Linked DNA regions of Drosophila melanogaster. The protein of the gene in region 1 interacts with the protein of each later gene in a pairwise test. Each region holds a gene or a part of one and is shown on either strand. Other genes may lie near its edges.

Region 1 (5,931 bases):
CTTTGTTTCTGGAAATTAGAATTTTAAATTGCGACTTCAGATGCAGCAATTAGCTGGCACTTTATGGGGGATTGATAGCTAGTCAGGTAGGTAGCCGAGAGCCAGCGGATCGGAACGAACCTATAGCCACCCGGCGATTGTCCCAAGGTCAGTGCAATTGTCTCGCCGCAGCCATTGTTCGCCTCAAATGAGCTAACAATGCTGTTAATTTGCTGTTGGCCAATTGCAATAAACGCCAACGCCGATTCCGTTTATAGATTTAATAGATTGGGCCAACGACAGCCGACCAGGCTCTAATGGGCAATTGGCCATTAAGGCAATGTGAGAACTCGAAAATCGCGCATCATTAGGGGGTCTTAAAGTGGAAAAACGCAACTCCACCCTCTTGGCCAAATGCGCTGACCTGGTTGTTGCCACACGCATCAAACTGGAGCGTGGAGACATCGGGTCTTGCCACACACTGTGCGAACCAAGTTTGGGCTTAAGACCAAAAACTGCCCAATGCGTTGCGTGTCACTGCTCTTGCTGCTGTCACGAAGTTATGTAAGTTCTCTGCAAATGGCGAGCTTCTCTGCCATTTGTCAAGATGTCCAATTGGGCTCAAACCAACTGGCCAATATGCAAACCGCTGATTGGACACCCACAATCGCTCGGCCCGCGGCGCTGCCTAAATATATTTTTCTCTCCCATTTTGACGCCTAATTTTTGTGGCCGCAGGCTTGCTTATTGCCACGAAGAAAAAATATGTACGAAATAGCAAAAAAAAAAAAACAAACGGCAAAGAAATTCGCATTGAACGTGACTTGAGCTGAGCTGTAGACATGAATGTGTTTGATTTTTATCAGCCGGGTCTACAATATTTCAGTTTCAGCCATTTATTTTGCTCTTTTTGCTGTTGCCGTGCTTTTTGCCTTTTGACTGGCGCCCATTGTTACCCGCTGTTTTTATGGTTTTTTTTTCTTTCAGCCCAAAGGCACAGCTGAAACTAGTTTTGTAGTTCCGTTTTTGCTTGGCTGGGGTTTCGCGTCTAGAAGTACTAAAAATCCAGCCTCCCAGCTGCTCGTACATTGGCAGCTACTGCTGGTCAGAATCAGCCAAATTCATCATTAAAACTTATTCATTGAGCCCCCTTTTTTTTAAAGCTAATTATTGTTTGTGATGAGGGACTCGACTGATGAGTTCGAGAAATGGGCATTGCTTATTAATGACAGGCCGAGCTGACCTTACGTTTCCCATAATAAGTTTATGCAAGTTTCCTCGGCTCAGTACTTAAGTAACTAACTTTTGAGGAGGATTTCCTCTAAACCATAAATAGTCTCGTACTTGAAGTTAATGAGCGTAGAACTTCACTGAGATAAATCACTTGTAGTGTCATAAATGCTAAACTTAGACATTGATATCATAGACGATCGCTACTATATTACAATAATTTATTTATCTTATATCTTAGTGTCTGAGAACTTAACACACCAAGTATTGGCCACAGTTCTGTGCCCACTTCCTTCGAGCACAGTCCGCAGTTCAAAAGTCTTGGCCTGCCACTCCCCTTTTAAGGCTTGGATTTGAAAGTGTTTGGAATGAATTGAACAACCTCGTGGTCGGTCGACTGCAGTCGCGGGGTTTTGCGTGGGGTTGATCTAAGGTAAAAGCCTGCATTTAAGTCCGCTTGAGTTTGCCAATGTTGGTTTAATTCGCCAGTGGTGGTGGAGGAGGCTGGAGAGTGGGGGATCAACTAGCCAGACGACTTTTCATTTTGGCCGAAAACAAACAAGCAACCCAATGCAGAGTGTCCGTTTAACGGGGGGCAAGCGAAGCTTGTGACTCACGGCTGGGTTTGGGGCACGCCTTTCGCTAGCATTTGGGTTTTTGCATAATTAGTGCTGAGCGCCAACGTGTCGTATGAGTAATGCAGTCGCGAAGTTCGTTGCCTAAGTCTTTCGTTTCAACTGTAAATCAATACCAACGAGCAGGCGGAAATCTAACGCTGAAAAGGTCTTGGCCTGGTTGAATGACCTCACCATTTTTGGCGCTTTCTTTGTTAGTTCTTCCGCGGGAGATTATAAATCAATCACACAGCTTTTGGCAATCAAGCCCACACGCATTTCTCGGCTTAGTTCATAAACCCCCAAAAATCCGTCATATGTCTTCACTTCTCTCACTTAGCTGAGCACACACATCGCCAGGCAGCAAAATAATACGAAATTATACGTACAATCATATTTTCCGTCTTTACCTTATTTTGTGCCCGCTTCAAGGTCACTGCGAGTTGTTGTCTGGCTGTTATATAAACAAGTTAACTACACGATGGCTCAGAAACTGGTATTCGAGCAGCTCGGGCGCAGATTCGCCTTTTAATTATACAAATTTTACGCTTGCGTTGGCGTTCCTCGACGCAAAGCTTTCCGAGAATGCCGGAGAACTTGGAAATATCCAACAGAAGTTGGAGATAAACGCCTTTGGCGGATGAGCCATTATTCACTAGTCAAGGCGTTGTATTCAACGCAGATGAAGACCATTACATTGGCCAACTACAATATTTTGATGGCTAACAAACCACAAATTAACCAATTAATAGGCCATGCATCACCGAAAAGGGAAAGGCCGTGCATCACATTCCCATAGTCCAAAGATGATGCAAGTGTCGGATCGGGATGGGTTCGGGGTTCATCTCTCCATCAATCAACATTTCTAATTGCTTCTTTAGACGCCAACCCGAACACAATGGAACGAACATAATTATGGCTGTGTGATCCGTGGAAGTGCTAAAAGTTCCACAAGGAGAAGAACCCGGTCTCAGCTCATGTGGGTAATGTTGGGTCAGCCAATTAGCAACAGATTCTGGCTTATAATGGCCGCACACGGAGTGGGGGTAAATGTGAATGGACCTTTGATTCCAAGAGCCCGATGACACATTACTTATGCGGTGCGCATCCAGAAATGGGCATTGAAAAACGGGAAAGAAGGCAGGAAAAGCGGATGGAAGACGGATGTCCGTGATGTGGCTACTCAAATAGCCAATTGCCGATGGCCAACCCCATCGCGGCCATATTTGTGTCCCCAGATGATGCAACTGGCTGCGAACTTGGCAGCCAACATCGGCCACTGGCAACCTTGGCAAACAGGTTCAGATCCCCGGACAGATGGCTTCTCAGGCCGCTTTTCAGATAAGGCCCATTTCATTTGCACAGAAAACAGATTGCAACGCTTCTTCAATTTGTTCCCCCGAGTACAAGTATTGGTATTCCGTGAATTCCGAATTTCGAGCGAGGCGAAGTGAAGCCAACCGGTTTGGCTGATGGATTTTTGGCACATCCACAGCGTCGGCGATTTATGAAGTCATCTTTTAAGGCTGTTTTGGGTTTGTTTTTGCAAACGGCACAGCTTTGATTTTCTGCCTGATTTTAACTGTTTCTTTTTGCGGGTTTCGGGTTTCTGGTTATTCGATTATGGCTTTTCAAACAGCAACTCCGCAACACTCACCTCTAGCCAACTTCGCCCTTTTTGCGTAATCCAATTTGTTATGTGTCCGTTGTTGCGATTTCGCTGTGCCTTAAACTGGTTGCCCGGAACGATGATGATTTTAGATATTTTCACGAATTTTGGTTTCACATTAGTTTGATTTTGTTTTTATGTACTTCCTAAGTGTTTTTTTTTTTTTTTGCGGGCTTCCTCTATAATTATTTCGTTTTGTGGCCAACACTCGTTTTACATGTTAACGCTGCGGGAATTGCACATTTAAGAGTTGGCCAAGAGTGGTAAAGAGACGCTAAGAGCTGCTCTTTGTGCGAATTGTGGCAAATAATCCGAGCTGTTGTTGTTGCTGCTGCTGCTGCTGCTATTACGCCGTCTCAACACAAAAGACTGAGGCAACAAACTTCCCGACACTTTTGCACTTCCCCAGAAAACAACGCGAAATATTCAAAAGATTCACAAATCATTCAGCACGTATTTACTGGCCCGGTTCAACCACCCGTCGAGCTTAATCGCTTCCCAAGGGCAACAACAATCAGAGAAAATCACGACAGAAACATCACAGGCACAACAGCAACAACCGCAACTATTTCAAATCTCGGAAACCCATGAACGTCTCTTGGAGCCACGGAAAGCCGTTTCAAATCCACACGCACGATCCAATTAGAACCGGGTAAACGGAGCCATAACCGCAGAGCTACGCCACTCGAAAAACTCACGCACGATTCGGGATCGAAACGAATCGGAATAGCAATCGAAATCGAAGCGATGGGATCGATGGGATAGAGGTTCGTTGAGCGCTGTGGATGTGTCTCGCACACCGACCTGGCCAAGACTGACTGGGCCCGAAACCGAGCCACTCGCACTCCGACGAAAACGCCAAGACGATGGCCGACAACCGGTCTTGCCAAGATTCGGAGTGGCGGCGCTCTGGGATTTTCGGAGCAATTGGCAAGTCTATGTGCGCTCTTCCGACGATCTCTTCACTAAGGCATAGTATAGTATCGCCTCAATTGGCGGTGGCCGCGGTGTCGCTGCCAGTTTTACAGCAGCAACACGTCGTCCAGCTGAGCTGCACTTGATGACCGGCGGGACTGGCGGCCACGCTCCGCTGGCTCCCTTTAATACACCTACGGCTGCGGGTCCAGATTGTCTTTCTAATGAGTGCGGCATAATTAGAGGGTCGGGCGGCGGTCATCCCATATCGCAAGTGTGCACATAGAGAAACATTGGGCTGGAAACCTCAACAAAAAACCCTATATTCCCTAGCTAAGGTTTTTTTAAATTTAAATATTTTTTGCCATATTCTTTAATGTTTGTTTGTGATTAAAATTTATAAAAATGCTTTGATTCGAAGCACTCTAGACTAAGTTTCCAAGTATCCAGGTGGTATCCAAGTGTCTTTGGAGCGCCTCCAGGCCAACGTCATGCTTTCGGCCACAGCTGTGCGCTCGCAACTGGAAGTCAGGTTCTGCTCAAACTTGGCAGCAGATCGGTGCAATTATGGCCAGTGTGTGGGCTGTCACCAGAACACCTTGATGACGGCATATATGGCCACTGGTGGGGCTGACTGCTTGGACTGACGAGGCTTCTCTGTGGGACACATGCTGCTCTTCTTTTGTTTTACTCGGTAGGCACATAAATCTTGAACTTGTCTCTACATTCTGTGAACCCAGCGCCCTTGCAACCTCGAGATCCCAGGTGCGAGTACAGGTAGCTGTGACACCTCGGAGACCCCGAGTTGTTGTTACTTTCTGCCGTATTTCCCTTGAAGCTGCCCGTCGCTGTTTATACTTTAGTTCTATCAATATTTATTATTATTATGCGTGTTCCTCTGTTTCGGTTATACATGTGTGGGGAAAACTTGGATGAAGTGGACGAATTATTCTTTTGAGACGTGAGAGAATTCTACAAGGACTGGGATGGGTAAATCCCTCACCATTTGGCATTATAGGTACTTTACACAAATAAAATATAAGCATATATTTATGAGTGGAAATTTTTTAAATAATTTAAAATGTATTATTTATTTATTATATATTTATGTTAAAATAGTTAAGCAAGCTCTTAAGAGCATGGCCTGCCCACCTTATTGACTATAAATAAATTTAAATAAAAAATTTTCCAACTCCTCAATCCGTCGAAAAGGGGAAGTCCAAGCGACAGTCGTCGGGGGGACAATCGAACAAACCGAAAACCACCCCATTGAACAGCAACAGGACATGGAGTTCCGGAGGGACCAGGCCGATTCCCAAAAGGCGGCCGGGGGATTCAGGACTACGTAGCCGGGGTAACTGTCACTGTTTGGCGTCCGGAAAATTTATTAACTCCAGCCGAATTTATAGTATTAACCTTGATATAGCCGTGTGGAGCTACTAGCAAATTAAATCTGAGAAAAATTCAATGTGTGTAGATTGTCCAGGTCTTTTATCAAATCACAATCGTTGTTGCAAGAAACTT
Region 2 (6,226 bases), on another chromosome or scaffold:
GAAACGCAGACAGCGATTTATGAGATGGGTGTTGCCTTTTATAATTTGGCCAACCAACTTGATGTTGTATATTATTTGCTTTTGCTCGAAATACATGTATAATTTCGTAGCCACGTCGAAGATTTGTGGGGGCGTATTATGTGGCCCCTGAGAAAATGCTTTAATGTCAAGTGTGGCTCACAGAATCTCGGTTTTGCTGGCATTGTTTAAGCTTAAGGCACTCGAGAAGCCAAAAAACTTTTGCTTCTTTTGCCATTTTTTGATTGCTTCTCTGTTTTGGGCACATTTCATCAAATGCTTGTTCACTCAATTAGATGTTGGAACTGAGGACGTTGCCATGGCTTGGAATTTGCCTCCGATTGAATTATGGATTGAGCAGTGAAGAGGTTTTGCATATGGAGCTTTGTTTATTGTTTATCCACTTCTAATTGTTTCCCAGGCCAAATGAAATGTGATAGGATTTATTTGGGGCTGAAACTTGTGGGAATTAGAGAAGAAGTATAGTATTAGTTTCTAATACAGATTTTTAAAAGTTATTAAGATGCTCTTAGGCAATTATATATATATATATATTTCTGAATAAATGTTTAGCAACCTAAAGCTGGCAATTAAATTTCACCAGTCAATATTCTTTAGAATTATGCATAAGCGTTGTAAACAATATAATAAGAATGCCAGTAATGGCCTTTGAAATAGCTGTTCAGAGTCTAATGAAACCCATAATTTGCTTCTAACTGATACCCTAAAAAATCGAATCAGCCATCAGAAATCAGAAATCGGAGCCAAAACCGGTTGGCATCATTGATTCAATAAGCATTCAACTTAGCATCGATCTGCGAGTCGATAGCTGATTTATATAGCACGAATGCAACCGCGGAATGCCTGAATGTCTGAATGTTTGAATGTCGGATACTTTTTCGTATAATTTGCACGCAATGAATGTGCAAGCAACACGAGACATTAATTACATATATGTGATGATGACATCACCATCACCAAGTCATCTGTTGGTTTGCAGATTTCAATTGCATGCAGTCGCCTCAAATGTCAGATGAAAGTTGCAGTTGGTTGGATAATTCGTACCTGCATAATAGTTGGTTTGGTTTTTAGGTTCAGTTTTTAGTTGTCTTTCCGATTCACACGCAAACATCGAAAAATGAGTAAGACTGCGAAAGCTGGGAGTTGATTTATTTTTTTTTGCATATTTGTGTATAGTAACTTGACTTTATATAACCAACGTGCCGAAAGTGATTAGCTTTGATTGATTTGTGTTTTCTGATGAGTATTTTGCATATATACATTTGGGTATATACCCTCTTCGGTTAAATTTTACTGTGGCTTGGAGTCAATGAATCGCTAGTTTCTCGCTTAACACGTATACGCACCGTGTGCAGCTGCAAATTGGCCGTTTAAAACCTGTCTGCGCTGAACCGCAACAGCCGCAGCAGGATTACGTAACTTTCCCTGTATCTTGCGAATTACGCTGCTGACCATGAGCATCGGTTTTTAGCTGATAGCTGAAAAGCTATCTTTGCCAAAACTCTAATTGTTACCGAATTCGGCGCAATCACGAAACTCATAACTTCATGTTGACCCCAAACCAAAAATAAAAAATAAAAACGAAAAAAAAACCCCAGCACAATAAGAGACACAGAAAATTATCATTATTATCAAAACATTGTCATCAAACCAAAAGAAAAAAAAAAACAAGGGGGCTAAGAGAAAAACTAGAAACACTTGGCCGCTGGCGTTGGTTTTGAATTTCTAGCTGCAACTTTTATTGGATGGCCAGCGTGCTAAGCATGGCTGGCTTTTAAGCATAAACATGGCCAACGGCGAAGACACGAAGAAATAGTGCCGAAGAAAAATCCAACCAACTGAACAAGCAAAACCAAAACCAAAAGCAAGTTCTGTTATGCACAGTGGGTTAGTTACATGGGGGGTTTTTACTCTCATATCTGAACTATGGTAACTATGGGAGCTGCAGATACACCATATAGATAAGCCCATTGAAAACGCTTTTCCTAGCTTAATGATAATACTGGTTGGATAAGGGCTTATGTCAAAGCATTTCCTCGATATGCCTTTTGCCATCACGATTGTCACATTCGGGCGAAAAGTGAAAGCAATAAATGAAATGCATATAAGCACATTAAATTTCACTCATTGATCCATTTGGTATTGGCATTTGTACTGGTCTCACTATCGCCTAAAGGCAATTCCCCAGATTGCAGTCTTGCTGCCAAATGACCAAAGAGTGGCCTTTTCACTCGAATTTCCAACGGATTTCGGTAGCGAGTATCATTTTTGGTCCGTTGACAAATGACATAAGCACTCCTCCTGCGGCCATCGAAAGGCGAACAAACTGAACGACAAAAGACCGAAAATCGTGCTCATATAAGGCCAGTGTACCAGCCAACATTTGGCTGATACTTTCAGGGTCAACCGGTGCGTAATCAATGGAATCACCCACCCACGCAAAGGCAAAAGCTGAGTTCGGTTCAACGTTTTGCGGAAATTGAAACTGAAGGTGGATGGCAGTCTTAAGATGCTCGAAATGCAATTACACTGCGCCAAAAAGCAAATTGTTGGCAAATAAGCGAGTTGAGCATGCACTGGAAAAATTGATGTGCCCGAAAAATACTACAATAAGATGAAAATACTAGATGAATTTTAATATTTAGTTATAAATCAGCTTGATCCTAAGTCATTTAAAAACGAAATCATTAAACATATTGTAGTAGTATTGAACACACTTAAAAGTTTAAGCACTTCGTTTTAATTTGATTGTAATTTATATTCTCAAGTGAGTTTAGCTTATGTTCAGATGATCTAATTTAGATATGAGACATGTGTCCTTGGATTTTTCTCTCTGTATTCTCGTCTATGCATCCACACAACTTCCCTTCATATACATATATACATATATAGAGATATGGGAATGTATTCCGCGGCATGGTTGTGGGCTACAAAATAAATAAAAATACAAAAACTGGCTTACCTTCTCTCCTCATTGTTATACAGTTGAACTGGCCGTGCTGTTGGTATTGTTTCGCTTATTTATTGTTAACGCTTTTTGCCAGCCAATGCGACAGGTTGTTAGTTTTTGGCCGCTGTACACATTTCATTACACTTCACTTGGCTGCTGCTGCACCGAAAATCGAGAAAACAAACATTGCCAATGTGATTTGGTTGTGTGGAGAAAAATATTAATGTAAATTGGAAATATGAAGGCGATGACATCGTCGCCGCTGACGCTTTGCAAATGTGCTTGTGCGCGTGTGTGTGTGTGTGTGGGCCAAAAACCTTTACTAGTTCTGACCAAAATGGCAGCCAACACATTAATACACGGAATGATATAATCGCCAGCGCCGCCATGAATGAATGAATGAAAGGCGTTGCAGCTTCTCGCAAGTTGGCTCGAATCGGTCGGTGCGAGGCGGCCTAAACACAATGGCCAAGACATCGGAACTCGTCTAACTCGGCTCAAATCTTCTTGGCCCAGGCACTGTTTTACATTTTTGTTTCGCTTTTTGCGGCGGCACAGCAAATTGCAGCGCCATAATGAAATCGCCCATAATCTTGGCTAAGGCTAATAATAGCAGCAGGTTTTGGAGCTGGCCAACACACAAATACACACACAAACACACTCGCACACACTTTGGCTTAGACACAGACACATACAGATGGCGAGCAAATTTGGCCAGCACTCTGTTTGTTCTTTTCTTTTTCTTATTTTTCTCGCCAACAGATCGGGCGTATACTTCACGTCGAAAAAATTCAAATGACACTCACGTAATCCGCTAAAAATAGTTGCTTTTGCTGCGCGTTATTTATCTCAGATTTTTTTTTTTTTTTTTCGTTGGAGTAAAACTTTGTTTTGTTTGTTTGGCAATCGCGGAGATTGCAAAATGCACCGTGGTCCGGTGGGAAAAATCGAAGCGAACGCGTTGCGATCACGGCTCAAACTGATCGCTCGAGAGTTGCGACAATGTTCCAGCACCTGTGAGAGTGGTCTAAACTGGTCTAAAACGCGTCTCGAACCGGTTGCGCTCTTGGCCAACTCAATCCTCACTATCGACTCTTCGGGCTCTTTCCCAACTATACTCTCCCCATCTCTCTCACTCTCTGTGGCTTTCTTGGCCTGGCCGTGCCGGTCTCCACCATCTGCACTTTGCACTTTTGGCGACTGCATTTTGTTGTCAAACTGCAAAAACTGCATTTAATAACCGTTAACCGAAACTTCTGCAACACGTGCACTGCATTCGCACACAGAGAAAAAAAAGGTGACGAAAGATTCTCTTTCTATGAAATTCTTAGATAGAAGTTTAGAATTTTTTGGTGGTGGTATGATAAGTAAACTTATGGTTAGTTTTATAAGAAAATATTTAAAAGATGTTTTTTATTTTTATCTTTATTTAAATCATAGACTTTGATACTTTTACTTTAACATAAAATATAATCATCTTGCTTATAATTTGTCACATTATCTCCCTATGAATATTTTTTCAGTGCACCGGGAGGTAAAGTGGGTGGTGGGAGGAGTTGGTGTTGGTTGTGGTAGTGAGGGAGCGTTACAGGGGTTACAGGGAGGTGAACTGTATTGGGGGCTTACTACATTAGGCTCCACTGGCTGACAGGCACCGCTGTTGGCCAGCTGCCGCACGTGACTGTGCAATGCTTTTGACTGCTGGCTGGAGCATTGGGGGTCATGTTGGCTGGCGGCAGAAGTTGGGGGCTTAATTTGCATCATGTCATTAGGATGAGTGGCATCGATAATGGGGCCAGAGGCCCAACTCTCTGGGTCACTTTTCCCCGCACATCCCCCTCTCTCTGTAAACGTTTAAGGTTGCAATTTATACGCTGAATGGTATTCAAAATAGTCAGTCATGTAAAAAAAAAATATTACATGCCATATTTTTCGTACATTGTATGCATTTGTGTGAAAATATTGCGCGAAATTTTCAAACAACTTTCGTGCAACTTCCGTTTGCGCAGTTAGCATTAGTTTATTTTCTATTTTGCAATTATAATTTGAAAAAATATAAATAATGTATATATTATTTAAAAATTTAATTTTCATTTAATATGGCTTCCAACTGGACTGAAAAGTGTACTTACCAGCAGTTGTTTAACTTTCCTCTGAAACAGAGATATGTGAAATATTTGTTCACCATCTCCAGCGTGTCAAATCCTTACTAATTTTTTTATTTGCTCCGTACAGCGAATGTCGTCCTGTTCTAAGTTGGATATCTTTGATTCTGACACGAACAGGATCCTGTGCATACTTTGTGCATTGTCTATTTCAGGTTTTTCTCCTGCCAGCACTTTTTTTTTTGCACACACATTCAGTGTGCAGAGGTGGATGGACTTTTTTTTTGTTAAATCCCTCACTCGGTTCCTTAGGGTAGTAGTAGTTCGTAGTAGTTCGTTCGTTACTTTTTGTTGACTTTACGCATCAGGCGCAGCTCGAGAAGGTCTGGTGTTTGTTCTTTGGCACTGCAAGTCGTAAAAAGTTTTTTCGTCCTCGGCTGGTGTCATAAAAGTTGCATAAAACTGCACAGATTTCTCAGTCGTGAGTGTCGTGAAAAAGTTTAGATTGTGCCTTAAATACAATGAGACCATCTACATATGTACACTTACATATGTATCGTCTCAAAGGATCGCTTTAAGGTGACCCCTTTAAGTGGCAAAGTCGTTCGTACGTCATGTGCTTAAAATGGCTGAAAAAAGACTGGGAAAAATCGACGGGTTCGCATGTGTCGGGATTTAATTTAGATAAAAGCTTTTCCACACTTTCACTCCGGACCTTTGACGTGCACCAGATAATGCCTCAAATCAATTCCGTAAACATTTTCCCGGCCGCAACCCCGACAGCAAGACGACAATTTGTTTTCATACCTCTGACATTTGGACTGTCGTTGGGATTGATTCTAGCTTATCAGTAGATGAAAGTTCTCTGGAAAATTAAATTACTAACAAAAATAAATTACCTGCAAGCTGATAACAAATCTTACTCGTCTAGCAGCAATTACTTATCAATTAAAACGGATAGAAGTGATGATTGATTTCTGCTTGTCAATTGGTGCGCTTCGTCACTACGTAAAATGTCGTCTACAGTTAGTTGAAATGCACCATCTGTATTCCATTTCATAGCCATTCCATATTTACCATTTCCCACCTATTTTGGAACCCCTTTGAATTTCCAACGAATTGCACGCTGAAT

Evidence for each region. The genes of interacting proteins can lie anywhere in the genome.
Region 2: the proteins of pio (region 1) and CG14830 interact in a two-hybrid assay, tested with the Drosophila melanogaster proteins (one large-scale study listed by BioGRID).

What each region holds. Positions count from the first base shown.
Region 1 is NT_033778.4:24,579,628-24,585,558, reverse strand, and holds the start of pio (piopio), read right to left. Parts: upstream 4,315-5,931; 5' UTR 4,191-4,314; exon of another isoform or gene 3,719-4,190; 5' UTR 3,481-3,718; intron 1-3,480.
Region 2 is NT_037436.4:7,259,948-7,266,173, forward strand, and holds the start of CG14830 (uncharacterized protein), read right to left. Parts: upstream 3,974-6,226; 5' UTR 3,796-3,973; exon of another isoform or gene 3,685-3,795; intron 3,149-3,684; 5' UTR 3,002-3,148; intron 1-3,001.